Xenopus tropicalis: one gene and its partners. The protein of the gene in region 4 interacts with the protein of the main gene of each other region in a pairwise test. Links are inferred from orthologs where the notes say so. Each region holds a gene or a part of one and is shown on either strand. Other genes may lie near its edges.

Region 1 (6,530 bases), on a different chromosome or scaffold from region 4:
AGCAGGCAGGGACACTGTTGTTTTAAATTCATTATATGAGAAGAGTAAAAACTACCACTATCTTGAAAACTAGACAAAAATAATTATGTAAATGGAAAAAATGATGAGTAATTTTATATTTATTTGTATTAAGTGCTTACATTTGACTTAAGCACATATACTACTGAAATCAGTACAGATCTGAGCATAAATAACATTGCATAAGAAATTTCTTAATTAAAGTGGGTTAGTAAATCTGAACTATAGACTAATAAACTACAGATATGAGCATGTGGGCTTATTTATACATGCATGTAAAAGCTCCAGCTACCTTGTTGTGCGCTGCGCTAAGACCACTTAAGGTGGCCATACACATAGCAATTTTGATCTTTCGATCGTTCCCACCCTCCAGTAACGTTCAGGGCTGAGTCGTCAGATATGGAGGTAGAAACAATAGAAATTCTACCTCCTTCTGCCGATTCAGCCCTGAACGTAGATTTTGCTCGGGGTGCCATATCAAAACCTTTTAACCTGGCCGATCGACTAGTCGACCGATATCCACAGCTTTTTGCAATATCAGTTGCCTCGTCAAGCCCCATACACGCACAGAGAATCGTATGAGGTTTTGTACAACATCATTGGTGTGTGTATGGCCGGCTTTATCCATATTGGCCATATTGACACAAGAATAAGCAAACATGGAGCAGACTTAGTGCATCTCTCCTGCATTGTTGTAAAACCAATCAACTCAACCAAGATGACTCACTGTGTTTGTTTTCCAACTGTTTTCCCATCATTTACAGTCGGTCTCTTGGCTACACAACTTTGCTTCGTCAGACTGTCACCGCAGGAATCTTTACTCTTCTTAACTGGGGGTCTCTTCTCTTCATAGAATTTATCTTCGTCATCTACATGGTTAAAACAAGATGCCCCTTTATTAAATAGGAAGGATGAAGAGCTAAGTGCAAACGACCTGTAATGTTCCACCAGAGCCCAAAGCATTGGTAGTTAATCATTTAGCACAGAAATAAAAGCCCATGCACAATTCAAGGGCTAACTCTGCCTATCTTTTAATATTGTCCAGATGGCATAATACTAACACAATCTGCAACTGGTCTTTATTTTTTATTTCATCTGGTCTCTGAATTATGTTGTCAAGGTTTGTATTTAATTTATCTGGTTTCTAGGGGTTACCTTAGCAATCATAGAAGAATCTTAAAACCAGTATAGTGAATAGTACAGGGCTGATGCCCATAGGGTTCAATCTGCACTCACTACAGTATTATTCCCAGCCTATTTAGAAACTCTGCACAGTGTCCCCATACAGTACCTATAAGAATTAAGTCTATTTAAGTCTGTGAATTAAGTCTGTGTTTAGATTTCATTTTACGTGTTACTGTATATCATTCACAAGATGAATGAAAATCTCTATAGACATGCAGACCCCATAGAAACTCACCACCATGCAGGGAGTCTATTGCCGGGCGGTTTCTCTGCTTGTTCCCCGCTACCGCAGCACCCTCAGACCCCCTCCGCTTTGCCATCTCCCCACAATTCTACCTCACATGTCCCCTCTGGTTGTATAACCCACACAACAGGAAACAATCTGTCTCAGACAATAACATTAACGCGTCACTTCCGGAACATACACATGTGCACCCCGCTGCCAGGCCTCCGCCACTTACTGCCCATACTCTCACATTATTGGCTGAGCTTCACATTCCGGCCTCCGACACTTACTGCCCATACTCTCACATTATTGGCTGAGCTTCACATTCCGGCCTCCGTCACTTACTGCCCATACTCTTACGCTATTGGCCGAGCTTCACATCCAGGCCTCCGCCTCTTACTGCCCATACTCTCACACTATTGGCTGAGCTACACATTCCGGCCTCCGTCACTTACTGCCCATACTCTCACGCTATTGGCCAAGCGTCACATCCAGGCCTCCGCCACTTACTGCCCATACTCTTACGCTATTGGCCGAGCTTCACATCCAGGCCTCCGCCTCTTACTGCCCATACTCTCACACTATTGGCTGAGCTACACATTCCGGCCTCCGTCACTTACTGCCCATACTCTCACGCTATTGGCCAAGCGTCACATCCAGGCCTCCGCCACTTACTGCCCATACTCTCACGCTATTGGCCGAGCTTCACATTCTTCCTGTGGCACATAAATATCGCGATAGGAGAATTGTCAGGGTTCTCGGCTATTTCCTTTGCGCGGGGTTTTGAAGATGGCGGACGACGGAGAGCAGGTAGGGATGTGGGTTTATAAGACTGGAAAACAGGTTCTGTTCGGTTCTCGGCGCAGTGCGGCATAAGGGGTGCTCCTGGCCCGGTCTCGCTTGGGAACGCGTATAGGGTTTTTTTATGTTGCGGGGAATTAAGTGAATGTTTATTCAAACTGGACTGTTTTCTCTTTTATTTCAAAGCCTTTTTTTTTTTTTAATCGTGAAGCACCGGTGGAGTGTGTTTATATTCATAACTAGCGATGTAAATCTGATTAAAAACCCAGTTGTTGTGGTCAGGAGTAAAATGAAATGTATGTTCTGTGTGGCTGATGGCGTCAATATATTCAAACAATAGAAGCACAAGGCTTGTTTTAGTTTCTATACCTCAGATTTCTGAGTTTATCTCCCAATTGACTCTTGACTCCTGTTTTTTAGGGACACATCCTATAAAATTTAAGAATATACTAGTGAATTATACTCCTAGATATAGGATTGTGCTTAAAAAAAAAAAAAGTTGTTTCGGACTGATTTGAGAATCCCCCCAAACCCCACTAGCCCCGCCCATCTGTTCCACTTCCTGCTGGCTGAATTCTCTGGATGTGCAGGGGAGCCGGGGCACTCTAAGATAGGAACCAATCAGCAGCTAGGCTGACCTGATAGGGAACTGAAGCCTGTCTGTGCTTTTGTGAGTGCAGGGCTGTGATTGGCTCTCCCCCTCCTACTGTTCTTCTAGCAGGGACCGTTAGGACACGCCCACCCCTCATTTGAAACACAGACAGGGACCTGAGAGGATCTATAGGGAGCTCCAATAAAGGGGCCATTGTTACAGATAGGGTTAATGTTTAGCCCAAAATGAAACCAGCACCGGATATTATTCATAATTGCCTACAAAATGAGGGGTTTTCCCATTTATCCAACATGTCTCCTAATTTACTAATGTGTCAATCCATGTTGATTGGAAGAACACAACATACATTTCATCACTGCCAAAGCTCAGCAGTTTGAAAGCTGTATGGAGGTGGTGCATGTTTTTGGGAGCAAACTAAATAACTACTGGCTAGGCAGCTGGTTCACTACCCTATTGGCTGCCCAAGCGGGTCTAAATCTATAACCTAAGTCTGTCATTTTGGCTTTTTATTAAAGACACCACAAGCATTCCTTAAATCTAAAGTTCAAACAAGACAAAAAATGAAAACTGTAAGGTTTTAATAGCTCAGGTTACAAAACAAAAACTGTAGTACCGTGTTAGCCAGTGTCAAAAATAATAATAAAAAAACAACAAGACACAAATACAAGAGTATTGTACTTCACACTAGTGAAACTACACTCTGGGCTTTATTTATAATTAAAATACAAATAGTACAGTTACATTAAAGGTATAGTGCTAAGTGTCCTAGACAAGAGGAAGGAGGTCCCTGCCCCACAGACCTTACAATCCCATGCAGGGGAGAAAAGAAATGCTATTTGGTAACTGTAGATCAAATCTGACTGCTCAAAACAATAAAGGTGCCCATACACAAGCAGATTTTGTCATGTGAAACAACCAGTTTTAAGGTGGCCATACATGGGCTGATTCTAGCTGCCGATATCAGTCCCTTAGACCAATTCGGCAGCTTATTGGCCGTGTATGGGCATTAACGACAGGCCTGCCCAACTGACATCGGGCAGATCTCGATCAGGCAGGTTTAAAAATCAGTCTGATCGGGGACTGCATTGGCTCGTTAATGCAGTCCCCAAACAGACAGACGCCTATGGCCGTCGTCCTAATTCGGACATTTGACCCTGGGGCCAAACGACCGAATTAGCCTGATATTGCCCACCCATAGATGGGGATATTGGGAGAAGATCCGCTTGCTTGGTGACTTCGCAAAGCGAGTGGATCTTAGCGTGTAAGGCCACCTTTACAGTGAACCAATAAAATTTGCTTTATTATTAACTTATTGTTACATTCAGGGGGAAACGATTGTAAAATATACGATCATTTCAACTGCATTGTCCCAACATTTGATCAGATGGGCTTGACCGTTTTTGTCATTAAATCAGTCAGTGGATGAGAGGAACAGATCACAATCATTAGATTAACATTCCCTGCACAAGTCTTTATTTTGATGGGCTAGGTTAAGTGCAAAAGTAAACAATGGAACAGACGGGCATTGGCTAATATATGTTCTTGGAGCCAGCACAACAAAGATATGACAAGTCTTCTCATATATTGACAAATGATCAAGCAAGCTTGAGTTTAGTTGCCTGAGGACCTGCTGCCCTTCACACTTCCCCCCCCCCCCCCCCCCAAAGGTCCTGTGGATGCTGAGTTACTAAACTCATGCAAATACTCTGTACCCCTGCAAGCACTGACACTTGATTGTGTGGCTTAAAAGACTGCTATTGCTAAATATTTGCAACTTATTCACTGGAATATAGAATCAGAAGTGCCATTACTCGTTTAAAGGAAATGTAAACCTTCGAAAGACATGGGGGGGAAAAAAGTCAACTGCAAAAGTGCTCTGAATAGAGTGCTGGGCAGTTTTGAGACTGTTTTCTTGGGTTTACATTTCCTTGAAAGTACTTTTTATAATATCATAATTATAAGGAGGCTAATATATCACGGCACCATCTGCAAAAGAAAGGGGACCAGAATTTGTGGTAAAAGCAGATGATTATTACTTTGCAGCTAAGGGGTTAAACAATATACAGGCAACTCTTATGTATCCAGCAAAAACAGTTTTAAGATAGAGGCAGAAACACAGGACTAGGTTTAAACTGAAAACTATAAATTGAATCATACTAAAAAGAAACTACCGCTCAAACACACAGAATAACTTATTAAGCAGACATGTGGCCCAGTGTTATAGGATCCAAAAATTGTAACTGTCTCAGGGACTGTTAATGTGACACTGTTGTGTTGAATAAACTTGCATGTTTGAGCAAAACTGGTCATGGTGCTGAGTATTGTATTACATCTCTGTTTCCTCCCCTCTCCATCGATCTAGCAACAAACCACAAATACAGTGGAAGAGCCTCTGGATCTGATCAGACTTAGCCTAGATGAACGGATCTACGTTAAGATGAGGAATGACCGAGAGCTGCGTGGACGTTTACACGTGAGTGTTTAGTATAGGTGATTTGTTTTGTGCGGATCATATTTGAAGCGTAAGGAAAACCTGTTTCCTTGTTTGCTCTTTTATACAGGCATATGATCAGCATTTGAACATGATCCTGGGAGATGTGGAAGAGACCGTGACAACCATAGAGATTGATGAGGAGACATATGAGGAGATTTACAAAGTAAATATTATTTTAATTGCATTCCTTTTATTGCATTTACACACGGATTTATTACCTATATATATCTCAGTTACTGGTTGCTTAAGAAATTAAATGAATCTATATTCCGATAAGGTATACCTTTTTAAAAAGGCTTTGTGGCTTAGCCTGCTGAGCAACAAGCACAATAAATATTTGTATTAAAAGGGGCAAATAATGCCATAAAGTGAAAATTCATATAAGATGTGAAAAATTGTAACCCTTAGCAGGGCCGAAACTAGGGGTAGGCAGAAGAGGCCCGTGTCTGGCCGCAATGGTCGATGGGTGCCAAGCAGGTACCTCTACTGCCTAATTACCCTGAGTTCCATCCATTCTGCTCTGAGCCTCGCTTAACACTGCTCTGTCTTGCTCCTCCCTCAACCCATCTGTCACTGTAGCGCTGGTAGCAGGGGCGAATGGGGGAACCAGGGAGGGGTGACGCGTTGACTGCCATGGGCTCAAGCGGCTGTCCCTTGGGGTGCAATTTACTTATCACTCGTCTCTATAGTTGCCATATGTACCACAAGATAGCAGCTCCCTGACACCTTAAAATTGCTGATATCAGAATAGCACTCAATAGTAAGAAAGCCAGTCCAGCTTGGGACTCCTCCAGTTACATGGGAGTAGGAGAAACAATAGGTTGCCTGAAAGCAGTTCTAATGTGTAGCGCTGGCTCCTTCTGAAAGCTCAGACTTGGGCACAATGCACTGAGATGGCGCCTACACACCAATATTACAGCTAAAAATACATTTGTTGGTTCAAGAACAATGTTAAATGGTAGAGTGAATTATTTGCTATAGAAATACACCATAAAATCATGTCAAAATCCCTTTAAACCTAGGCAACGAGGTTTAGTATAGAAATCTAGTTTTCTAACCCATTCTTTATTAAAAAAAAAAGGGGGAAGATAATGGTAAACAAGTGAATTGTAATCTTTAACCCTTAATATCAGTAAAAAGTGCAATTATGGGTTCTCTGGCTTCCTACAGAGTACAGGTATAGGCCCCATTAT
Region 2 (6,499 bases), on a different chromosome or scaffold from region 4:
TGGCTGCATTTCTGATCAGCGCTCTCCTTGTTCGGCCTGTGAGTTTAGGTGGACGGCCTTGTCTTGGTAGGTTTACAGTTGTGCCATACTCCTTCCATTTCTGAATGATTGCTTGAACAGTGCTCCGTGGGATGTTCAAAGCTTTGGAAATCTTAGCCTGCTTTAAATTTCTCAATACCTTTATCCCTGGCCTGTCTGGTGTGTACTTTGGACTTCATGGTGTTGTTGCTCCCAATATTCTCTTAGACAACCTGAGGCCGTCACAGAGCAGCTGTATTTGTACTGACATTAGATTACGCACAGGTACACTCTATTTAGTCATTAGCACTCATCAGGCAATGTCTATGGGCAACTGACTGCACTCAGACCAAAGGGGGCTGAATAATTACGCACACCCCACTTTGCAGTTATTTATTTGTAAAAAATGTTTGGAAACATGTATGATTTTCGTTCCACTTCTCACATGTACACCACTTTGTATTGGTCTTTCACGTGGAATTCCAATAAAATTGATTCATGTTTGTGGCTGTAATGTGACAAAATGTGGGAAAGTTCAAGGGGGCCGAATACTTTTGCAAGCCACTGTATACTAAAAAGGTGCATTATTCACCCAGTGCCACACAAAAGCCAATACTGATACTTCTTATATACCCTGTAGTATAGTAGATTATTTGTGCCAGTCTCATTACTATGTATTTTTAAAAGACTTACATGTACCAACCTGCACCAGAAAAAGATCTGGTATCTTATTGGGGCTGGAGATTAATGATTACTACAAAACAGTAACATTTTAGAGATATTAGCTTGAGCTCCTTGCAACTGCATTTGTGTCTACAAAGGGAGAATCTAGGAAAACACTTTTTAATCAGCAGTTTAAGTTAACAGCTCCATAATTAGCGAGCAGGCATATGTAGGATCCATCTCTCCAACCACACTGTTAATAAAGACTTTACAAAGATTTACTGAAACAAAATGCAATAACAGACTAAAAAAGAAAAAGCGCAATAGTCTTTTCCTGATTGCTATTCCTTTCTGATGTCCCAATAAAGAAATGATTTGTTTTATTGCTAGAAGTATGGCAGTATAACCAGAAGCCAATTAAGGTGTCAGCGTGTTTTGGAGAATAGGGCAGAAATCCAAGCAAACAGAGAGAACCTATAAACTCCCAAATGGTTAACTTTTGTAGTAAATCACTGCCAAACCCTTTAAGGGGTGGTTCACCTTTAAGTTAAAGGAACAGTAACACTAAAAAATAAAAATGTTTTAAAATAATTAAAATATAATGTACTGTTGCCCTGCACTGGTAAAAGTTGTGTGTTTGCTTCAGAAAGACTACTGTAGTTAATAGAAATAGCTGTTGTGTAGCCATGGGGGCAGCCATTTAAATTGAAAAAAGGAGAAAAGGCACAGGTTACATAAGAAGATACCAGATAAACTGTGTAGAATACAATGGGAATCTGCTACTTATCTGTTATCTGCTTAGTAACCTGTGCCTTTTCTCCTTTTTTCAATTTAAATGGCTGCCCCCATGGCTACACAGCAGGGTATTTATATAAACTGTAGTAGTGTTTATGAAGAAAACACACAACTTTTACCAGTGCAGAGCAATAGTACATAATATATTAATTATTTTTATACACTTTCATTTTTTGGTGTTACTGTTCCTTTAACTTTTAGTGTGTTATAGAATTGCCTATTCCTATTCATTATTTCTTATAGTTTTGAATCATTTTTTTATTTTCTTCTAACTCTTTCCAGCTTTCAAATAGGGGTCACTGACCCCAGCAGCCAAAAAACTATTGCTTGGTGAGCATACAGTTTTATTGTTATTGTTACTTTTTATAACTTGTTTTTCTATTCAGGTCCTCTCCTATTTATTTACCACCCTTTCATTCAAATTGCTACCTGGTCGCTAAGGTAATCTGGACTCTAGCTCTAAGATAGCTGATGAACAAAAAGTGAAAGAACTAAAAAAAATACTACAAATAAAAAATTAAGACCAATTGCAAATTGTCTCAGAATATTACACTCTACATCAGGGATCCCCAACCTTTCATACCTGTGAGCCACATTCAAGTGGAAAAAGTGTTTGGGAGCAACACAAGCATGAAAAAGGTTCCTGGAGGTGCCAATGAGAGCTATCATTGGCTATTTGATAGCCCCCATGTGGACTGGCAGCCTACAGAAGGTTCTGTTTGGCATTATACTTGTTTTTTATGGCTGCAAAACATGCCTCCTTTACCAGAAATTCAAAAATGAGCACCTGGTTTGAGGCCACTGGGAGCAACATCCAAGGGGTTGGAGAGCAACATGTTGCTCGCAAGCTACTGTTTGGGGAACACTGCTCTATATCATACTAAAAGTTAATTCAAAGGTGAAGAACACCTTTAAATCTGCTACGCAGTAAAGCTATCCATTCAGTTATTTTACACAATAGGACACTAAAAAGTGTACACATTTTCTGGTCGGTCTTCCAAATGCTTTTGCAATTCAGATTTGTTTTCAGTTTCAAAGTTATTAAGCATGTTATAAGCGTCTATTATAATTATTATGTAACAATTGCGCCACCTACTGGTATATCCCTCCAATTGCACAATCTGAGAAAACATGGTCAAAATGAAACATGGAACTGTTCTTATTGCGCTCTTTAGCGACTGAATTCCCAGCACAGAGCGTTGCCTTACATACTGGAACAATATTGGAATAAGATTTGCCTTGTCCTATAACCACTCTAGGAACTAGATGCGCCCTCTTTGTTAACTAATCCACCCCGCCTTTTCTCTGTCAGATTACGCCGCTGCCCCTCTGCGTAGCAAACTGGAGGGAACTTGTTTCGTGTCGATCACGTGGGCACGTTTCTACAGGCTTAACCAAATCAAGCAGGAACTAGCCGCTAAAGTGGCCCGGAAGCGGAAGTGGCCCTTCAAAGGAAGCGTTCTACACGCCGGGAAAACGTGAGAAGGGAAAGGAAAGACAAAAAGAAAGATGTGAGTAACTGGTGGAATATCTTCAGCCCAGCTTTAAATACTTAAAAATAAGGAAAAAAACTAGCCTTTTGTATCTACTTAAGTTTAGCTGATTGACGCTTAGAACGAATGCCTCTATGTAGCAGAGCATGCGATTGTACTAGCCGGAACTTGCCTGCACTTAGAAAATGCTGTGTAGTTCTGTGATTTAATTACTGTGGCAGAGATGGCAGTGCCAAAAAGCTTCCCTTGCAGGCTACCAGCACCAGGTCGTGTGTATAAACAGCTCCCCGGGTTTTCTCATTATGCAATTGCATGTGACACTTGCTCACTATATACAGGCATGTTAATAACATGGCTACCTGCAGCAAGTTCTCCATCATCCGGGTGTGGGTGGCACATCGCTATGAGCATTTTTTTGGACAAAATGGTACTGTTTCCCCCAACCTAAGTGCGGGTTCTATTAGCCCAATTCAAATCCGATATGTGTCTTTTAATACTAAGCAACTATTCAGTATACACGATTTAAACATTTTCAATGGTTCTAAATGTTTTCAATCAATTTCTAATCAATTCCATATCTTTCCTGGTTGGACCCACATGACAAGTTTCTACAAAGGAAATATTCTGCAGCTTTATGTGCTTGCACGATTATAGAGATCTGTGTGGTCAACTTAAACACTAATTTGTGTTTAAAAAATGCATATGACTGAAAAATATGCCTTTTAACACATTCAGCCCAGACTTTTTTGTTAGTTTATTAAGGCTTAATTGCTCTAGCAATAAGGGGTGGGACTTCACACATGCTCAGTAATGTTTTTGACTATGGGGCACTCCTTTAAAAACATGGAGGCAGCAAGTAGATAGCGATGGGTAAAAACAGCTTTAAACATGATTATTTGGGGAAAATTAAACCTAGTAATTAAAATCGTACCAAAATGGACAGTTAATAGGGTAACCCATTTTTAATAAAATTGTATTCTCCATTAAACAAAAAATCACCAGTAGACGTTTTGTTGTCAGAAAAATAGTGTTATATCTGATTTAGTACAGTGGTGTGAAAAACTATTTGCCCCCTTCCTGATTTCTTATTCTTTTGCATGTTTGTCACACTTAAATGTTTCTGCTCATCAAAACCGTTAACTATTAGTCAAAGATAACATAATTGAACACAAAATGCAGTTTTTAAATGAAGGTTTACGTTATTAAGGGAGAAAAAAAAACTCCAAATCTACATGGCCCTGTGTGAAAAAGTGATTGCCCCCCTTGTTAAAAAATAACTTAACTATGGTTTATCACACCTGAGTTCAATTTCTGTAGTCACCCCCAGGCCTGATTACTGCCACACCTGTTTCAATCAAGAAATCACTTAAATAGGAGCTACCTGACACAGAGAAGTAGACCAAAAGCACCTCAAAAGCTAGACATCGTGCCAAGATCCAAAGAAATTCAGGAACAAATGAGAACAAAAGTAATTGAGATCTATCAGTCTGGTAAAGGTTATAAAGCCATTTCTAAAGCTTTGGGACTCCAGCGAACCACAAATGGCAAAAACATGGAACAGTGGTGAACCTTCCCAGGAGTGGCCGGCCGACCAAAATTACCCCAAGAGCGCAGAGACAACTCATCCGAGAGGCCACAAAAGACTCCAGGACAACATCTAAAGAACTGCAGGCCTCACTTGCCTCAATTAAGGTCAGTGTTCACGACTCCACCATAAGAAAGACACTGGGCAAAAACGGCCTGCAGGCAGATTTCCAAGGCGCAAACCACTTTTAAGCAAAAAGAACATTAAAGCTCGTCTCAATTTTGCTAAAAAACATCTCAATGATTGCCAAGACTTTTGGGAAAATACCTTGTGGACCGACGAGACAAAAGTTGAACTTTTTGGAAGGTGCATGTCCCGTTACATCTGGCGTAAAAGTAACACAGCATTTCAGAAAAAGAACATCATACCAACCGTAAAATATGGTGGTGGTAGTGTGATGGTCTGGGGTTGTTTTGCTGCTTCAGGACCTGGAAGGCTTGCTGTGATAGATGGAACCATGAATTCTACTGTCTACCAAAAAATCCTGAAGGAGAATGTCCGGTCATCTGTTCGTCAACTCAAACTGAAGCGATCTTGGGTGCTGCAGCAGGACAATGACCCAAAACACACCAGCAAATCCACCTCTGAATGGCTGAAGAAAAACAAAATGAAGACTTTGGAGTGGCCTAGTCAAAGTCCTGACCTGAATCCTATTGAGATGTTGTGGCATGACCTTAAAAAGGCGGTTCATGCTAGAAAACCCTCAAATAAAGCTGAATTACAACAATTCTGCAAAGATGAGTGGGCCAAAATTCCTCCAGAGCGCTGTAAAAGACTCGTTGCAAGTTATCGCAAACGCTCAATTGCAGTTATTGCTGCTAAGGGTGGCCCAACCAGTTATTAGGTTCAGGGGGCAATTACTTTTTCACACAGGGCCATGTAGGTTTGGATTTTTTTTCTCCCTAAATAATAAAAACCCTCATTTAAAAACTGCATTTTGTGTTTACTTGTGTTATCTTTGACTAATAGTTAAATGTGTTTGATGATCAGAAACATTTTGTGTGACAAACATGCAAAAGAATAAGAAATCAGGAAGGGGGCAAATAGTTTTTCACACCACTGTATATATTCCCAATTCTTGCATAGACCAGTATGTTAATGAAATCTAAACTGTGGTGGGGCTAATAGTGACATGAATGGTTTATAATCTCTCTAAAGAGCTGCAGAATGTATCAGCGCGTTATAATAATCTGTATGTATACACCCTTTTATTGCACAGTGCCAATAAATATGTTGACACTTTATAGATCCATGTTAATAACATATTGCCAAATAATTCCCTGCACTTATACACAAAACTAAGAGTTGGACAGCGCATATTGTGATTTTGTTAACTGACACCATTGTTTGTAATTAAAAGGTTTAATAATTTAATGCCATCTCACACTGATTCTAAATCTCTTCAGGAGTCTCCTTAACAAGCCCAAAAGTGAGATGACACCTGAAGAGCTACAAAAGCGAGAAGAGGAGGAGTTCAACACAGGGCCACTGTCTGTGCTTACTCAGTCTGTGAAGAACAACACACAAGTTCTGATCAACTGCAGGAATAACAAAAAGTTGCTAGGCAGAGTAAAAGCCTTTGACAGGTACTATGTTGATAAAAACTTGGGAAATAAAGGGAATGAATCGGTGCATGTTTTCTGCCTCTCTAATAATTCATTATGTGCAAGTGCAAACATTTTTTTTTACAATACCACAACAAAATAAAATGCATTTATTGATGAATTAGTATTATCTCCCCCCTCTAATGTTTCCTAGCTCAGCAAGCCAGATTAATGGGCTTGTAAGAAGACTCAGGACATCTTTTTTTAGATCACAGACTTAATTCCTGAGGTTAGGTCACCTCCATTTTAATCTTGCACCTACGCAAGTAAAGTGTTTTACCACTGACCATTCAGATTTACTACAATCCAATTTTATTTTTTCATGTAATGCCACCTGTGCT
Region 3 (6,608 bases), on a different chromosome or scaffold from region 4:
AAGATCTTTTAGTTATCGTAGGATCAAGCTTATCCTGAAACGATGGCTTAAAAGTACGATTTGACCATTTCAAGTGATATCGTCTAGCTGAAGCTAGGAAAACTACCTGCTTTGGTCCTGCAAAAAACTGGAGAATGGGCACATTTCATTGGTAACAACTACAATTTTAAAACTTGACAGATGTCAGATGAAAAATAGCTAGATGTGCGAACGTTTGGTGCCCACTAACCTTATGATAATTTGACGGATTGTCAGATCGCAATGAAATTGGTTGTTAGGGAGAAAAAAAACCTTAATGTGTATGGCCACCTTTAGTGTTTGCTCTCACTAGTCCAAATCATAAAATTGATGCTTCCTCCAAAAATGTTCCAGACAGATAACATTCTGCTAACATCCACTAACCCAGACTCATCCTATAGACCAACAGTAGTAATATTTACACCATACAAGCTAATGCTTGGCACTGGTGGTTTTATATATATATGGTATATAGCAGTTTACCCATCATAGCCCATGCTCACAACAAATAATTCTAATACTGTTGGTGAGCAACACACAACCTGTGTTTTTGGCCTTACAGAATTATCTTGTAGATTGTAACCCAAAGTATTTATGTCTTAGTCTTCATGGCACATGTGTCTTGTCCCTGTGTATTGTGCAGGCAAACTAACCAATGCTTGCAGAGGTGCATAATGCTCTTTTAAGTAAAATCACAAAGTAGAACTTCTATTTGAAGGCTTTTAATACAAAAAACAAATTCACAGAAGGAATGTAGCATCTTCACTTAACATAAGGGCATTTGCACCAGGAGGAGGAGGAAGGGGCATATTAACAACTGTTATAAATGAAAGCTAAACTCGCTCCAAAGCTTCCAGCATTATAATGCTGTTCCCTCGAATTACCTGTAAAGCAAAAAAAGAAAGGTTAACCACATATATCACCCCTTAATAAATGCAACAAATTCTAATAAGTCTTTTATGAAGGATTCAGGGTTCGGTTGAATCCAAAAATAGTGGATTCAGTACATCCCTAGTGAACACAGAAATCCCACAATGCTGGGCTTAATGGCAATTAACTTAAATGCATGTGGTACATAGCACTGATGTATGTAGCCATGCACTGTGCATATAATAAAACAATGAACTCATCCTACCCAGAAAACATGGGCTAGATCCCTCTCTTTAAACTGGCCATCTTTAAAGTACTAAAGCTGCTCAGCCGATTAGTCATTATTTAATCTGAACTTCACAGAAGCCAATACACTTTGCAATATTAGCTGCTAATAATCTGACCATATTCCACTAAATGCAGCCATACATGCTCAGATTTTGTAGTCTCACGACTGATTTCAGGACAAACTGTATAGCTGGTAGTGTACAAACAATTCTAGATGTAAGAATTTACTAATTGGCCCAACATTCTTAAAAATATCAGTTGGGCAACGATAAGAGTTGGTGTGAAAGTTGTCGTTGAACAGTCGCTTTCTGTGCATATATTGGCAGTACCTGCAGAAGTCAACGAACGCATATGACAAGACCCAAATGTTTGTTGCCAACCCTACATTTTAACCACATAAACACTATGAAAAGTCATGTGCATGCTGTTGGTAAATATAAATACAGGCAAAAGAATACCTTGCTGCAATACCAGCAAGCCAAGGCAACCAGCCACATTACAAACAAGCAGAACTCATTCGTTCACTTGTTGTAATAGCAAATAGCATACCAATATCGATAAAAATTGATGAAAAATACATCACTTCCTGTTTATACTGCTTCCGCCACAAGCTGATATAGCATTGTAGATGCACAATATTACTTTACCTTTTGGCAACAAAATGACGACATCTTTAACGTGCTACTTCTCTGTGGATAACATTGTATGATTAAATGCCATTTGTAAATGTAATTGCTATTGAAAGCAGCATTTGCCGAACTCCTGGTGGTTACTTTTTAAACAATGTTGCAAAAGTCAGTCTCCTTCCCCAAGTCAGGTCTGTCAGTTGGCTGCCTTGTGTTACATTGTTTCAAATGCCAGAGCCACCAGGGCAGAGAATAGAAAAGGACAGACAAACACTGCTTCTAATAGCAATTATATATACAAATAACTCAAAAACCATTACAAATTTGTAATAAATGTATATTGCAAAGCTGAGAATTCTGTTTTCTTTTATTAGGCAAAAAATTATATTTTGCGTTGCGTTGTCCTCAAATGTTAGTTTAAAAATTGGAAAATCTGACCATGAACGGCCACCCTAAATTACACACACAGTAAGGGACCATACAATATATGTTGCAGCTCAGTCTAACACTTACCACCATTCCAATGGTGTTTTGGTGGCCACCCCCTGATATCTCTGTGCACTCATCTATTACAAGGTTCATGAAGGGATCAAAGCCACGCAGAATCCCCTGGACATGTCTCCCACCATTTAACTTCACTGAAAGAAAGAAAAGAAAGGAAATTTGATCAGATGCTTCAAGGTTTTGGTGGTTTACTGGTTTGGGGAGTCACCTGGTACAGTTCCCTTATAACTGCATATATTTATATAGAGTGAGGAACAGCAGTCCTGTATCCTGAATAAATCCTTCATTGCACCATCTCTCTGCTGCTTCTTATTCTAAATAACACTGTTATTTGGCCAAGCACCTGAATAAGGTCCGAGCACAGACCTCATCATATATATTTTTATTTTTTAAAAGAAAACTATACCCCCAGAACGAATACTTAACCAACAGATAGTTTATATTTTGTTAAGTGGCCTATTAAAGAATATTGTCAAACTGGAATATATATTAGTAAATATTGCCCTTTTACATCCTTTCCCTTGAGCCACCATTTAGTGATGGGCTGTGTGCTCCCTCAGAGATCAGCTGACAGGAAATAATGCAGCTCTGACTGTAACAGGGAGTAGTGTGGGAGCAAAAGGCAGAACTCTGCCCATTCATTGGCTGATGGGGCCTAACATGTATGTGTGTCTTGGCTTGTTTGTGTGCACTGTGAATCCTATGATCCCAGGGGGTGGCCCTTAATTCATAAAATGGCAATTTCCTATTTAGTACCACCCGATAGCACATACTACTAAAAAAATAATATTTTTAAGAAAATGGTTTATTTAGATTAATTTAGTTTTACATATGAGCTTGTTTATGAAACATTTTTATAGAGACCTACATTGTTTGGGGGGTATAGTTTTCCTTTATTTTTTTTTCTTTTTACAAGTAGATGGAAAATTTTTCAATACTTACAAGACAGTTTCTTGTCCATGAACCTAAAAGTAAAAAGTACACAACATTTAAATACATTATATTATAATAATAACTCAACAAGACCTAATCACCTGTGCTCAGATCACTAGACTAGGGACCCAAGAGAAGCCAATGCAGTTCCCTTATAGGGTTAGTATCAGGCATAAGAGCTACTTCACTCTTCCCAGAGATCCATGTGCACATTATGAAATACTAGAATCCTTAATGAATCCTATGACTGCGACTGATGTAGTTGGCCAGCTTGGAGTATATTGCAATATATGGGCAATCAATCAGTTTGACCACAAAATATAATTGGAAGATATGTGGGAATCGAAAAGATCCCCATTTCTTTCTGTGTGAATGATGTGGTTGCAGCCTCCATGCTCCAAAACGGGCCATTCAACATGAAACAGCGCAATGGAGGCTGCAGGTTTGGGTGTATGTTCCCCGGCTACAGCCTAAGCCGCCCCTCCGCTCTGCCCCTCACTTGCCCTCCGCTCTGCCCCTCACTGCCCCCTCCGCTCTGCCCCTCACTTGCCCCCTCCGCTCTGCCCCTCACTTGCCCCCTCCGCTCTGCCCCTCACTTGCCCCCTCCGCTCTGCCCCTCACTGCCCCCCCCCGGGCCGTTCCTTACTTCTTCAGCTCGGGCGGGTGCGCTTTGCTCATTTTCGTTCCTCGTGTACAAAGCCCCGGTCGCTGCCGCCAAGTAACGCAGTCGCCTTAATGTGACGTAAGCACGTCTTACGTGTATGCGCTTCCCCGCCCACCCCCACGGTCGCTATGACGACCACCAAAGAATACAAAGGAGACGCGTTAGCCGGCTTTAGTTGGGCTAAATATAACATTGTGTATCAAATATTAAAGTATATAAGAAATATTGCAAATTTGATTACATATATACGTTTTCCCTGATTGGTTATAGAAGAATTTAACAAAAACTTGGGGCTATGGAAGCTAGTCGGTCAGCTTAGATGTCTGCCGCAAAACAACGTAGATGCCGTAGAGTTAGAGTAAGGGCAAGCCGTAACCGGAAGGGTATGTGTAAGGGCGGAAGAGAGGTGCGTTGCCCTTGGAGCACACGCTTGTCAGACATGGCAGAGGAACAGCAGAACCGGCTTCAAAATGCGATAGACACTATGGTGAAGAGCTTGGAAAGGGACAACATTAGGAAAATGCAGGTACCATAGTCTGGTGTAATTAGTCTTATGTCATAGGGCGTTACAGCCCATCTTCCATTACTTCTTTTATTATACTCTGCTGCCATTCAAAGTCCCCCTGGGGTAGCACTCCCATGCACTTGAATGGAAGGGGCACAAATGCCTGGGGGTCCAATAGGAATTGGTCATTTTTAATGTACAGGACTAATGGCTGTGGGATGCCTTATATACCAGGTTTTACTTGTCCTTTAATATAACATACTAGTTTTCCTGCTACATTTGCTTAGCACAGGGACTTATCTTTCTGTTCAGGTTTCTGTTCCTTACCATTAAACCGCAAGTACTGTTGCTGCAAACTTCATCAGAAATGGGTAGGGCAAAAAGAAACTGGGGCAAAAAGAAACTGGGGCAAAAAGAAACTGGGGGAAAAAGAAACTGGGGGAAAAAGAAACTGGGGCAAAAAGAAACTGGGGGAAAAAGAAACTGGGGCAAAAAGTTCAAATGAGTAAAACTTATGTTTGAAAGCCACAGTGTGGCCCAAGCCTCTTAGCAAAGGAAATCTATACCCCAGACAATGTAGGTCTCTATAAAAATATATTGCATAAACAGCTCAGATGTAAAACCCTGCATCTTCTAAATAAATTGCATGAAAATATACTTCTTTTAGTAGCACGTGCTATTGGGTAATCCTACATAGAAAATTGCCATTTTATATATTAAGGGCCTCCTGCTATTGTAGCACACAAACACACCAAGGGCATGCACTGAATCCGGGATTCGGTGCAGGATTAAGTCTAATCCAAGGTCCTGGCCGAACCAAATCCGAATTTTTAAAAACACCTGTCTTTTTGTCACACTCTGCGTGGGGTTCTCTTTAACCCTTACTTGCCTTAATTTGTATGTACAAATTTGGTTTGGAATTCGGTCAAATCTTTAACAAAGGATCCAGGGTTCGGCCAAATCTGAAAATAGTGAATTTGGTGCATCCCTATATACATATATTTTAATGTTGAAATTGTTTAATAGGCCACTTAATATGATCTGTTGGATATATATATATATACACTACGAGAATAACCATCACAAAAACCAAAAGTGTGTTTCTATATGCATCCAAAATAGAGACCCCCAAGTATAAAACAGTAGCTCATCAGTATTACCTTGGGTCTGGGATGTTGGTGTTTTCATAGGGGTTTGCAATTTATATCTGTGTCACACGACTGTGTTAATGCCCCCCATAACCATAACCAAAGCCAATGGGAAAATAATCTGCATGCAGAAAGTTTGTTCCTATGAGACAGGACCCCCAGCCTTCTTCTCTGGGACACTGTTGCAGATGCAGGGTCTGTAGCTGGTTCAGGGGATCATATTTTATTTATTCATAGTTCATGAATGGCCTCTAGCTGGCTTGGGATGTTTTATCCACTTCAGGTGATCAGGTGACTTGCAGGATGTTTATAATTGTTGACAATTTGATCAACCTTTGGAGCACAGAATGTGAATGTGGCAATAGTACATGGCAAATAAAATGTCAGGACATACACAAATAAATTGCTTAAACCAGTGCTATCCAGCTTGTGTTGTGGGACAGTGATTTTGTCATACTGGTATGGGACCCCTTATCCGGAAACCCATTATCCAGAAAGTTCCAAATTACGGAAAGCCCATCTCCCACAGACTCAATTTTAATCAAATAATTCACATTTTTAAAAATGATTTCCTTTTACTCTGTAATAATAAAACAGTACCTTGTATTTGATCCCAACTAAGATATAATTAATCCTTATTAGAGCCAAAAACAATACATTAAGGTTTAAATACTGTTAATAATTTTCTTAGTAGACTTAAGGTAGGAGATCTGAATTACGGAAAGACCCCTTATCTGGAAAACCCCATTCTGGATAATGGGTCCCATACCTGTACAAACACCTTCTGAGCCATAGGGCAGGGCAGGATCCATCATTATCCCTCAAAGGGCCACACTGAGCTCCCAGGCTTATATTTGAACAGCTTTGATGAAATGCATATACTTTTTAATTTCCATACTGCTGGAGCATGAAGTGAGTGTGTAATAGGCCAACATGTGCACTGGGAAAGCAGTGATGCCTCACAGCAGTGACCAGCAGGCTCCAAATACACATATCTGTGCAGCAGTGGGCCCCCAGCATTTGTACCATTATAGCAGGGACTCAGGCTTAGA
Region 4 (5,972 bases):
TGGGTTTATTTAATGGTTAAATTATTCCCTTTTCTCTGTAATAATAAAACAGTACCTGTACTTGATCCCAACTAACAAGGTAAAACAATCCTATTGGGTTGATTTAATGTTAAACTGATATTTAGTAGACGTAAGGAATGGAGATCCATATTGCACAAAGATCCCTGTCTGGAAAGGCCCAGGCCCCATATCTGTATTAAGTTACCATTAGCCAGAAAAGAAAAGGTCTATCAATACAATACTAAACATTAATTTAAAAATGAACTTCCCCTTTAAAAGAGAAAAACCCAGGCACAGCTAAAATCATCCCCCGCATTCCAAATGATACACACAAAGATGCAGCCTGACCTATTTAAGCCATTATGTAGCAAAAGAAAGAAACCATTTTGACTGCTCCATTTCGTGGGACTGTCAGGTTGTGAGTCAGAGCCTCTCTCCCCCAATCTGCAGTCACAATGATGATTTAACCCTTTAAGTGCCAGCAACATTTTACATGTTTCTGGAACATTTTGTTTTTCCTCACTTTAGAGGCATTTCCTTGGGGGGGGGAGCTTTAGTTTCTCTAGGAAAATTAGTTGGGATCAAGTACAGGTACTGTTTTATTATTACAGAGAAAAGGGAATCATTTAACCATTAAATAAACCCAATAGGGCTGTTCTGCCCCAATAAGGGGTAATTATATCTTAGTTGGGATCAAGTACAGGTACTGTTTTATTATTACAGAGAAAAGGGAATCATTTAACCATGAAATAAACCCAATAGGGCTGTTCTGCCCCCAATAAGGGGTAATTATATCTTAGTTGGGATCAAGTACAGGTACTGTTTTATTATTACAGAGAAAAGGGAATCATTTAACCATTAAATAAACCCAATAGGGCTGTTCTGCCCCCAATAAGGGGTAATTATATCTTAGTTGGGATCAAGTACAGGTACTGTTTTATTATTACAGAGAAAAGGGAATCATTTAACCATTAAATAAACCCAATAGGGCTGTTCTGCCCCAATAAGGGGTAATTATATCTTAGTTGGGATCAAGTACAGGTACTGTTTTATTATTACAGAGAAAAGGGAATCATTTAACCATTAAATAAACCCAATAGGGCTGTTCTGCCCCCAATAAGGGGTAATTATATCTTAGTTGGGATCAAGTACAGGTACTGTTTTATTATTACAGAGAAAAGGGAATCATTTAACCATGAAATAAACCCAATAGGGCTGTTCTGCCCCCAATAAGGGGTAATTATATCTTAGTTGGGATCAAGTACAAGTTACTGTTTTATTATTATTATTATTGAGAAAAAGGAAATCACTTTGTTATTTGCCTAAAATAGACTCTATGGGTGATGATCTTACAATAACCTGGAAATTCCTAGATAATGGGCTTCCAGATAAGGGATCTCCCATATATTTTATTTGGTGCCTACAAATGTAAATCCAGTCAGTAGCATCCATGTTAGCCTGATTTCAACAGTAGTTTACAGCCAAAAGCCAAGACCACCAGAAAACGAATTTTAAATTACATTTTAGCACCTTGTTGATCTGTGATTTAAAATGCTATTTCCTCACAACAGTTACCTCTATTTCCCTGATTAGTGGGAGCAGATACTGTACAGGCAGAGGGGACACTCTTAGGGCTTTTTAAGCATATTGTGTAAAAAACAAGAATGTGCCAATGCATTTTACGCTTCTAAATATAGAAGGAATGTGCTAAGAAAAGTGTTTTGGGCTGATTTCATAAAAACATTTCCAAAAACCATGTGTTTCACTTCCTGCTGGCTCCTTTCCCAGGCTGTTCAGGGAAGCTGGCAGCACTTGCACTGTAGCTTAGGAACAATCAGCAACTAGGTGGGTCTGATAGGGAACAGGAGCTCCCTATCCTGGATTTTGTTAGGAGTGTCAGTGACACTACACATGCTCAGTGTGCTCTGGGCATATTGAGCTCTGATGCTAACTGCATTGGTTTTAGAGCTGCCATGTAATCTGTATTATTTACTACACTATCTCACTTATATTGTAAAATGTATATTCTATATATACAGTCTATTGTGAGTGGTTCCCTAAGATCAGTTACTGACGGCAGCCCAGGGCATGTGCTGGGAATAAGTGTGAAAGAAGATGGGGGGCAACTGGGGCATCTTCAGATCTTCACTGCTATAGGGCTGTGGTTGCCCTGGGCTTATACAGAAACCCAAAACACAATGTACAACATTTCTGCCCTACGTTTTTAGTTAAGCTTTAGTTCTCCTTTAAGAATGTGCATGGTGCAAGAGCCAGAGTCTATTTATATGTGATGAACTAAAACTCTCAACCTTCTGCAGTCAGTGTAGCGCTGGTGTAATATATATATATATATATATATATATATATATATATATATATATATATATATATATATATATATATATATATATATATATATATATATATATATATATAATGCCGCATATAAGGGTGAAGACACACGGAGCTGCTAGTTGCAGATACTTGTCATGGCTACAGAAACAGACAATATTGATCATTTACTGATAATTGTCTCTACGTGTATTTTAGCAGAGGCAATTCTCAGTATTGTCTATGGCAGGGGATTTTCTGGCGTTTAGTAACCGTGACAAGTAGCTGCTACTAAGTAGCTCTGTGTGTCTTTACCCTAACACTGCTAGCAGAGCCTATCAGCAAAGCTGAACTAAGAGGTCACCAAAGACAAAAACCTGCCCGCACCTCCGAGCTTGGAGTTCACCATGACGTAGAGATGCTCCTCAGGATAGGCGGCCGTGTCCCTGGAGATTGCATGTAGACTGATTGAAGGATATTCTAATGAAAAACCAAGGCCGGAACCATTCAGCCATGATAGGCGACTGAAAGAGAAACAGAAAATCTCACTAAATTTGTTTTTAGGGAACCAGAAAAAATAATGGTTTAAAATTAGGTGTATTATGCTTGCTGCTCCCATCCCTCAGTCTAACAGTTTCCTCTAATAATAATTTTAATGGCTGGTCAGGAATGAGATATTACTACTGGTAGCCTTTCACTAGTGCTAGCTATATATATATATATATATATATATATATATATATATATATATATATATATTATATATATATATATATATATAGCAAGAAAAAAGAGCTGCACTCACCAGGACTTGGCAAAAATATAGTAAGTTTATTTAAGCAAAGAGATCCAACGTTTCGAGCACTAACTGTGCTCTTCCTCAGGGAGAAAGAGCACAGTTAGTGCTCGAAACGTTGGATCTCTTTGCTTAAATAAACTTACTATATTTTTGCCAAGTCCTGGTGAGTGCAGCTCTTTTTTCTTGCTATATATATATATATATATATAATATATATATATATATATATATATATATATATATATATATATATATATATATATATATATATATATATATATATATATATATATATATATATATATATATATATATATATATAAGTGAATGAATGTCGGCACTCACAGGATTCTCACAAGGATGTATCACAGACAATATGGTTGAATGCAACTAGGTGAGGTTTATTGTCCTACGTTTCGGTTCTTTACTGGAACCTTCGTCAGGTTCGAAGGTTCCAGTAAAGAACCGAAACGTAGGACAATAAACCTCACCTAGTTGCATTCAACCATATTGTCTGTGATACATCCTTGTGAGAATCCTGTGAGTGCCGACATTCATTCACTTATCTACATTTTGCGGCTCTGGCACCCAGGTATTGTACCTAAAGTTTGGTGTGCTCCCCACTCTGCAATCTGTGTATATATATATATATATATATATATATATATATATATATATATATATATATGGGATGCACCAAAACCAGGATTTGACCTTTTTCAGCAGGATTTGGATACGGCCGAACCAAATTCGAATCCTCTTTAAACCTTTCTTATCTTAATTTGTATAATAATAATTTGTATAATTACTACATTATCCTAATTTTAACATTTCCTTATCCTAATTTGCAAAATAGTGTATTTGGTGAATCCCTAATTATATATAAAAAAATGAGCCCCTGCACTGACTGACAATCAGAGACTAAAGTAACTGGCAATGTAGGGGGTGATCCTGTTAACTCTATCTGTGCCATATAATAAGGGTCACAGTGGTCTTGACCAATCCGGCAGCTTATCTGCCCATGTATGTGGCCCCCCACCCACCCCACCAATCCAATAAAGGACTGTGTTCATCTCATTGATGTGGTCCTCACTCCAACGGCTCTTATCCCTGTCATTGTAACCAAATGATCCAATTAGCCCAATATTGCCCACTGTAGGTTACCATATCAGGAGAAAAATTCTCTTATTTAAAACCTCACCAAACGAGCCAATCTTATAGAGCCGCCTTTAGGGCTCTGGCACACGGGGAGACTAATCTCCCCGAGTTGCCATCCCACCGGCGAAAATGTAAGTCGCCGGTGGGATGGCACACGCTGCGCAGGCGATTTCGCCAAATCGGCGAAGTTGCCTCACAAAGGCATTTTCGGCGATTTGGCGAAATCGCGCCGCCGCATGTGCCATCCCACCGGCGACTTACATTTTCGCCGGTGGGATGGCAACTCGGGGAGATTAGTCTCCCCGTGTGCCAGAGCCCTAAAGGCAGCTCTATAAGACTGGCTCGTTTGGTGAGGTTTTAAACAAGAGAATTTGTCGCGGGCGACTAATCTCCCTGTGTGCCAGAGCCCTTAAGGTGAAGACACACAGAGCTACTTAGTAGCAGCTACTTTTTCAAGGCTACTAAACTCCAAAAAATCCCCTGCCATAGACAATAGTGAGAATTGCCTCTGATAAAACACATGTAAAGACAATTATCAGTAAATGATCAGCATTGTCTGTTTTAGTAGCCATGACAAGTAGCTGCTACTAGTAGCTTCATGTGTCTTCACCCTTAGGGTGAAGACACACAGAGCTACTAGTAGCAGCTACTTGTTGTGGCTACAGAAATAGACAATGCTGATCATTTACTGATAATTGTCTCTATATGTGTTTTAGCTGAGGCAATTCTCAGTATTGTCTATGGCAGGGGATTTTCTGGCATTTAGTAGCCACGACAAGTAGCTGCTACTAGCAGCTCCATGTGTCTTCACCCTTAGGTTTGCTTCCAGCAAGGGAACCATCTACAAAGAATATATATGTCCTGTACATGTCTGTGTGGGTTACCCCCCAAGTGCTACGGTTCACCCCCCAACATAAAGGCAGAATAACTGGTTCCTGCTAAAACTGGACCTAGTGTATGTTACAGAGACTATAGACTACAAACTCCCCTGGTGCAGGAATGATGTATAATCTCCATTCAGCGCTGCAAAATATGCCAGCCCAACATATAGGGTAACACTGTACTGACTATACCATACGCTGGTTACTGTGCATATATATATATATATATATATATATATATATATATATATATATATATATATATATATAATACAGTCAGTACTATACACAATATGTGTAGGAATGTGTGTTAAGGTGCCCATACACGTTAAGATCCGCTCGCTTGGCGAGGTCACCAAACAAGCGGATCTTCTCCTTCACCTACGGGTGGGGGATATCGGGGGAATTCAAGCTAATTCGATCGAGTTAGAACGCCGGTAATAGGTGCAGTCGGTTCGGGGACCCTACACTACCGATAAGCTGCCGAATAGGTCTAAGGGACCAACCTCGGCAGCTACAATCGGCCCGTGTATAGCCAGCTTTAGCCTATGGCCAGCAGGTTATACAGGTAACAAATACGCTACACAATCACTCAATATATAGTGAATAAAGCAGCCCCTATTGTAACATATAGGGATATTTTAAGTCCCCGAGGAGTTCCTTATAATATATAGTGAATAAAGTGCCCCCTATTGTAACATATAGGGATATTATAAGTCACAGAGGAGTTCCTTATAATATATAGTGAATAAAGTGCCCCCTATTGTAACATATAGGGATATTATACGCCCCCGAGGAGTTCC
Region 5 (6,423 bases), on a different chromosome or scaffold from region 4:
GCCAATCACAGAGCAGTACTCCCGACGCCAGCCCCGGTCACCTCAGCAACCGTCCCGAAATTTCCCGAGGCTTCCACGTCGTCAGCCAATCAGCAACCAGTTTTGCCGATGATATCATTCTAAGAATTTTCTCGAGTTTGCCCGCAGATTCGGGGTTGTTCGGATAGTGGCAATCGCCGAAGACTCCCGATCTTTCTAGAGAGAATGGCAGGGAGTGTAACTGTGGCGTGAAATGTGAATCATCTGCTAATAAATTGGCGATAGCTGCTAGAATATAATAGATATGCATAGAGAGTGATTGATGCGTGGGTTTTATTCGTGTGCTACAAATATGCGTACCTCTTGCGCTTGTATGGCTTTGTTTGGAAATAGGAGGGATTATTTAACATTAATTGTAGAATAATTCCTTTAGTGTTGCTGTATAACTATATTATCTAGTTACATCTCCTCTGGTAAGGTGAAAGGGAACTCTGTACACTTCCGTTGTTGTGTTGCGCCCACAGGCACTTGCTATGGTATCACACTAGTTATAGTGGGTCTGCTTTAACAACAGATGCTAATTATGTCATTTTGCAAAGCAAACAAATCTTTCCATGTTTGTCCACCGTTTGTCTAGCCCCAGAGCCAATTAACATGTCGAGTGAGGGACATATGCAGGTATCTTGCGAGAGAACTGCATGAACAGGCCCATGAGTTTCATTCCTTAGGACATTTTCTAACCCACTGCAGACATTTGTTGGCCTCAAGTCTTGGGGACAGTTCAGTCAAACGCTATAGCAGATGACCTGGGAGAGAGGGTGCCAAGTTAGGACCTGCACTTCCATTGCACTCTCCATCCTTCCTGAGCCCAAGCTGTGGGACCTGTGCGCTTGCAGGCTTGGGTGGGAGGGGTAGAGCTACAAAACAACCTGGACAGGCGTCCTAAGGTGCACCAAGTTCCTCCAGTCTCCTTGTCTTGTTTTGTCCTGAGATAATTACCATTTTTAAATGAAAACTGCAATGTCCCTACACAGACCAATATGGAACCGACTTATATGAAGGGTAAATTAAAGGAGACATATTTGATAAATGGGGAAAACCCTAATTTTGTAGGCAATTATGAATAATATACGGTGCTGGTTTCCCTTTGGGCTAAACATTAATCCTATTTGTAAAAATGGCCCCTTTATTGGAGCTCCCTATAGATCCTCTCTCTTCTCTGACCATGTTTGAAATGAAGAGTGGGCGTGTCCTAACGGTCCCTGCAAGAAGCACAGTAGGAGGGGGAGAGCCAATCACAGACCTGCACTCACACAAGCAAAGACAGGCTTCAGTTCCCTATCAGGTCAGCCTAGCTGCTGATTGGTTCCTATCCTACAGTGCAGTGTATAGAGGGCCGCTGGCTCCCCAGCTCATCCAGAGAATTCAGCCAGCAGGAAGTGGAGCAGATGGGGGGGACTAGTGGGGTTTTGGGGGAATTTCTCAATAAATCTGTCTGAAATACAACTTTTTTAAGCACATTCCTTCTATATCTAGAGGAGTATAATTCACTGGCACATTCATAATTTTTATAGGATATGTCTCCTTTAACAGTAACTAGCCCAGGTATGGACAGCGTAACTCCTTTTAGCTATCTCGTAACCCTCATGCCTTGTACCTGGAGTTGGTAATTATTGGTCCTTAACATTACAATTGATGTTTGTTGTGCAAGAACTGATAGTTTGTGTTTGTGGGTCAGAATGCAGTTCCAGCCTCTGTAGTTACACCTGGAATCCAAAGTTGTTTAATAAACTGGTACAAGGGACATTTTCTCTGAGCAGAAGCTCAAAAAGGGCAGGAGGTGGGCAAGTGACAAACCAAAGGTTAGGGATTAAAAAAATACAAAAAAGGGATCCAAAGAACAAGGAGAGATAAATCTGATTCTTGTCTGACTGTCGCTAGTTTGGCCCTAGGTTAGAATTCTGCTGGCAGAAGAAACAATAAAATAAAAAAACATTTTAAGGTTGGACATTACAGATCTAATGTGGAGTGCCTAACCTTAATATAGTTCATTTTTATTCTACTGTTTCATAAACTAATCTATACTTTGTTACACTTAGTACCTGCTCCCAGTTTATAAAACCTGTATTTTTTTTAACGTATTTTAGTTGTTCAGGGATAAAATACGTTTAGGGGACTTCTCAAGAAAGTTACATGAAAAAAATGTTTTCTGTCCTCGCGAGATCATGATTGCGTCATCACCGTGGGACCCATTCATTCGGCCGGTGCCTGAAGCCGGCGCGCAAATTCCTGCTGCTTTAAATTCTCGCGAGATTTATGCAGAGGCGCTAGAGCGGTGAATGAGCGGAAGGCATTTGGTGTGTAGATCTGTCGTTGTCAGCGGCGTCTGTTTTGTTCTTCAGTTTCCAGATAGAGCTTGGGTGGTGCGACTGCAACAGAAGCAATGGTAACCGCTTAAGAACACTAGCGTTCCGTTACTGTTTCACGTTTTGTAGGGTAGAACCTAAGGAGTCGATAGCCATGTATTTTGTGGTGTACCAGCGTATACAGACCTGTTTGGCAATCAGTCCCCCCCCCCTATAGTCGCAAGGTCAGCTTTCTGAGTGGCCATGCCCTGCTTTGACGTTCCATGTTTTGCCTATACCAGGATTCTGGGATTTGTAGTCTTATAGCAGTGGGAGGGCTCGAATTTGGCCATCCCTGCTTTGCAACAACATTTCAATCATTTGTAACCTGATGTTAGTTGGACAGAACAACTTGTCTGTCTCTGTTATTGTTTGTGTCTTATGAGAGAACATGCTTTGCCTTGATCTGTAAAGGATCTTGGCAACATTTGTTATGTGATGTGCCTTGGGTAAGCTACAGGAGAGGCAACTGGTTTTTATAACTACTTGTTTTTATCATGTACAGCTATTCTACTCCTTCTTCAAGTCTCTTGTAGGAAAGGATGTGGTGGTAGAGCTGAAGAATGATCTGAGGTGAGTGTTTTGCCCCATGTTCTTTCTAGAATTGCTTCCCCCCCCCCCCCCCCACATGCTATACAGTCAGGCAAAAAGCTGCCACTGGTACATTTCAAGAACCTAATTTCTGTACTTTAAGGGATGTGACACACGGGGACATTAGTCGCCGCGCAACAAATCTTTCTTGTTGCGTGTCGACTAATCTCCCTGTGTGTCACAGCCCTTAAACCTAGTGCAGTGTGTGCAGTTGTGCTTTCTGCACTTGTGATGTGCCCAACACAAAAGAGGTAAGCACGGTGGGTGCAGCAGCACTTAGAGTCCCCCTGACCATTGTCAAACTTTAGAGGGCAGAGTGTATTGTGTAGACAGAATTTATAAAAACATTTTCTTGTGCTCCTGTAGACTTCACACCCTTAAATAACCACTTCTTTACCATTTAGCCATCTTTCATCCATTTAGCCTTTTGTTGCACTATTACATAAATGGTCTTATCTCTTGCAGTATCTGTGGTACTCTACACTCAGTTGATCAGGTAAGTAACTGAGCAAATATATAAATGTAGTTTATTTTCTCAGCATAATTATCAGCTCAGCCATGTTGTCACTTAAGCCTTGCAACTGAAATTGGCATAAAATCTTTCAGTGCCAGGGAAAAATGTTGGGTTGGCAAAAAAAAAATGAAAAAGTGAAAATTTTCTTTTAAATGACTTTACCATTACTGAAATTTCCACAACGCTAGGTTAAATTAAACCCTAGCAATCAGATAGCGCCTACAATTCCAAAATGGAGAGCTGCAATAAAAAAAGCTAAATTTAATTAAAGACTGCGATAATGAAGACTAGTTGCAAATTGTCTCCAATTATCACTGTCCACATCATACTAAAAGTTCATTCAAAGGTGAACAACCCCTGAAGGGACAGAGCCTTTAATAAAATGTACGCATCCTGCAGAGTATAATGTCAAACCAGGGAATATTTATTAACATAATTACTACAAGATTCTCCAAAGAGAATATTGCTCATATTTTTTTTTTTTTATACCCTAGAGGGCTTGTTTGCATAGAGGAATATCTCTGCTCTACCTGTTATCGTAGTACCTTTTCAGGTGTCTGGTGCTAAACAGTCTGTAGACCCACCTGCCCAGGGTCAAAGATGCTGTAGCACACTGATCCGTTATTGTGGTTGCATTAAGTTGCACCGACTCTTGCAATGTTTTGGGTCACTCTCAGACTGGCTGAAATGTTCCCAGTAGATGTCTGCTAATTAAGCCAATAAATCACTTTATTTAATGTGTGATCAGTGTGCTACATCATCTTTTGCATTCTGCATAGAGGAATATGTCTTGGAATAGAACTTTTGGGGGGAACTTGTGTTTTTCATTATCTCAAACAAGATTTCACTTTTTTTTTTTTTTATAGTATTTGAACATTAAGCTGACTGATATCAGTGTAACAGACCCAGAAAAATATCCACACATGGTAAGCTTTTTTTTTTTTCTTTGTATTTTTTATCTGCACCAGTAAACTAGATACTTAGCTTTTAATCCTGCTTTGAAACACTTGTTAATGTAATTATTTAAAAAATTTTTTTTTTAGTTGTCTGTAAAGAATTGTTTCATTCGGGGATCTGTGGTCCGCTATGTACAGCTCCCTGCTGATGAAGTAGACACTCAGCTTCTCCAGGACGCTGCACGGAAAGAAGCTGTACAGCAAAAGCAGTGATGTACAAGAGCTAGAAGGATGGAAGCAGGTTCACAAGCAGCACTAGGTGTTGTCAACTGCCTATATTTCTATAAGGCCAAATATAGGAGTGAGCAGCAACTTGTTACCTGTTATACAGGTTTTGCATTACATTTCTGTAAGAGACCCACACTTTTTTTTCTCATCCTAGTTCTGGAAACTTTTTTAAGTGCAGTGACTTGTGTGTTCACTTTAGAATCCAAGCAATGCATTTTGCTCTGCAAAGAAGTGGTCTCAGATAAGCAGAGTTAATTGGGAAAGACTGCCCTAACTTTTTTTTTTTTTTACTTAAATAAATTTTGTGTTAAGTCATCAGCTCATGTTTTTTTTTTTTTTTAGTGAAGCTAGTTCCTTCTGTTTGTATCTGCCTTTCTTAATTTTGTCGTAATATGATTTTTACTGGTTTAATTTTTTTTTAATATGCGTATGGTAAATTTAACCCATACCCTGAATTTGAAAAATCAGAAATTTTCCACATTGAAGAACAGAAATTTATAACATTCTGTTGTCCAGAGCTTTAAAGTCATATGACTTATACCACATGCATAAAGCAGAGTTTTTATGAATTGCTAAAGTGCAAAGACCTTACTGGCCTACATAGAATCTTTACCTAAGCCCAACTGAAATGCCAAATGAGAATCTACCTTTCTGTTTGTCTGTGTTTGGGAGCATAACTAAATGTGTGCAGTGTTTAACCTTCTAGTGGAAAGCCCTTCTCAGCAGCATCCAAGCCCAAGACATTAACAGAATCTGCCATCACAACATCACTGTTCTTACTGAAAAACCACCTACGCTGCTTCAAATGAAAGTTAATGCTTGCACACTTTTTAGAATGTTATAAATACACCTATTCTAGGCAACTTTTACATTATTTTGTATGGTTTTTATTAGCCTTTCTGTTTTAGAGTGCAGCAGACAATGTTTGAATCACTGACCCAGATGGGCTACCGTTGCCCTGCTCAGAAGAACATATAAGGCTTGATATGGAGTGCAAGATTAGTGGTCACTTATCCAGCACTTGGGCTGTGGGCTAAGCTGTGCTCTGCTCCTCCTGCAGAGCCTTATCCCACCACATAAGGCAGGAGGGAGGATTCCTCCTGTGCCACTCCCTCCCCTCAGCAATACAGTGCTGGTGAGCTAAGATGATTAACAGTTTAGTTTAAATTGGGGATACACCATTAAATGGGACATTGTATAAAATTTTACAAAAAAAGTTGCAGGCAAGAGGTCTTGTTAAATGAACTAGAAAATGTTACGATAGATGAGGACACCAAAGGATCTTTGCTGCAATGCAAAGGATGTTGGATATAAAATAAAAATTACAGTAGACAGGCTGGAAAAGAAAGTGGAATAATGAGTCAATGTAAGATCAGAAAAGTGGAGCTTCTGCTGAGTTCATTTTAATATAGGTAATCACTGTGGGGTTTATTATGGATTTAAAGTGAATATAGCAATGGTAAACATGGTGGGATAAATCAAGTTTTGTAGCTGGTGTGCAAAAATAGATTGCAGAGAAGTAGCATACTTAAAACCCATGGGCCTAGCAAAGTGGATATGGACAAATTCAACACCAAGAATTGTCCCTAGACAAAGATCATGTATCATAGGTCTTTATTTGAAGGTGTATTAGGCTGGCAGGGATAGGCTACAATGAAGCCCTGTTCTTACCATTTGCCATTGGCATGTACTAAGAACAGGGCTGCCGTGTGCCTTCTGGTGCTGTGCTTTTCTTTGCACCAAGCAGCAA

Evidence for each region.
Region 1: the proteins of clns1a (region 4) and lsm3 interact in binary tests that used the Homo sapiens proteins (3 or more experiments, as listed by UniProt). The link is inferred for Xenopus tropicalis from reciprocal best matches to the Homo sapiens genes CLNS1A and LSM3.
Region 2: the proteins of clns1a (region 4) and snrpd2 interact in binary tests that used the Homo sapiens proteins (3 or more experiments, as listed by UniProt). The link is inferred for Xenopus tropicalis from reciprocal best matches to the Homo sapiens genes CLNS1A and SNRPD2.
Region 3: the proteins of clns1a (region 4) and snrpg interact in binary tests that used the Homo sapiens proteins (3 or more experiments, as listed by UniProt). The two-hybrid records come from large-scale screens. The link is inferred for Xenopus tropicalis from reciprocal best matches to the Homo sapiens genes CLNS1A and SNRPG.
Region 5: the proteins of clns1a (region 4) and lsm2 interact in binary tests that used the Homo sapiens proteins (3 or more experiments, as listed by UniProt). The link is inferred for Xenopus tropicalis from reciprocal best matches to the Homo sapiens genes CLNS1A and LSM2.

The regions. Positions count from the first base shown.
Region 1 is NC_030680.2:132,916,835-132,923,364, reverse strand, and holds the start of lsm3 (U6 snRNA-associated Sm-like protein LSm3), read left to right. Parts: upstream 1-2,205; 5' UTR 2,206-2,218; coding exon 2,219-2,239; intron 2,240-5,205; coding exon 5,206-5,316; intron 5,317-5,404; coding exon 5,405-5,500; intron 5,501-6,530. Other genes in the region: xpc (DNA repair protein complementing XP-C cells), read right to left, coding at 746-887, 1,439-1,523. UniProt on the Homo sapiens protein: Plays a role in pre-mRNA splicing as component of the U4/U6-U5 tri-snRNP complex that is involved in spliceosome assembly, and as component of the precatalytic spliceosome (spliceosome B complex).
Region 2 is NC_030684.2:70,385,423-70,391,921, reverse strand, and holds the start of snrpd2 (small nuclear ribonucleoprotein Sm D2), read left to right. Parts: upstream 1-2,914; 5' UTR 2,915-2,985; coding exon 2,986-2,987; intron 2,988-5,960; coding exon 5,961-6,140; intron 6,141-6,499. UniProt on the Homo sapiens protein: Plays a role in pre-mRNA splicing as a core component of the spliceosomal U1, U2, U4 and U5 small nuclear ribonucleoproteins (snRNPs), the building blocks of the spliceosome.
Region 3 is NC_030679.2:122,084,751-122,091,358, forward strand, and holds snrpg (small nuclear ribonucleoprotein G), read right to left. Parts: upstream 3,945-6,608; 5' UTR 3,918-3,944; coding exon 3,886-3,917; intron 3,272-3,885; coding exon 3,249-3,271; intron 2,441-3,248; coding exon 2,316-2,440; intron 903-2,315; coding exon 852-902; 3' UTR 725-851; downstream 1-724. Other genes in the region: protein FAM136A, read left to right, coding at 4,343-4,429. UniProt on the Homo sapiens protein: Plays a role in pre-mRNA splicing as a core component of the spliceosomal U1, U2, U4 and U5 small nuclear ribonucleoproteins (snRNPs), the building blocks of the spliceosome.
Region 4 is NC_030678.2:168,850,612-168,856,583, forward strand, and holds part of clns1a (methylosome subunit pICln), read right to left. Parts: intron 2,856-5,972; coding exon 2,719-2,855; coding exon of another isoform or gene 2,713-2,718; intron 1-2,712. UniProt on the Homo sapiens protein: Involved in both the assembly of spliceosomal snRNPs and the methylation of Sm proteins.
Region 5 is NC_030684.2:75,101,756-75,108,178, reverse strand, and holds lsm2 (U6 snRNA-associated Sm-like protein LSm2), read left to right. Parts: upstream 1-2,284; 5' UTR 2,285-2,422; coding exon 2,423-2,425; intron 2,426-2,889; coding exon 2,890-2,957; intron 2,958-3,440; coding exon 3,441-3,471; intron 3,472-4,355; coding exon 4,356-4,415; intron 4,416-4,532; coding exon 4,533-4,658; 3' UTR 4,659-4,991; downstream 4,992-6,423. UniProt on the Homo sapiens protein: Plays a role in pre-mRNA splicing as component of the U4/U6-U5 tri-snRNP complex that is involved in spliceosome assembly, and as component of the precatalytic spliceosome (spliceosome B complex).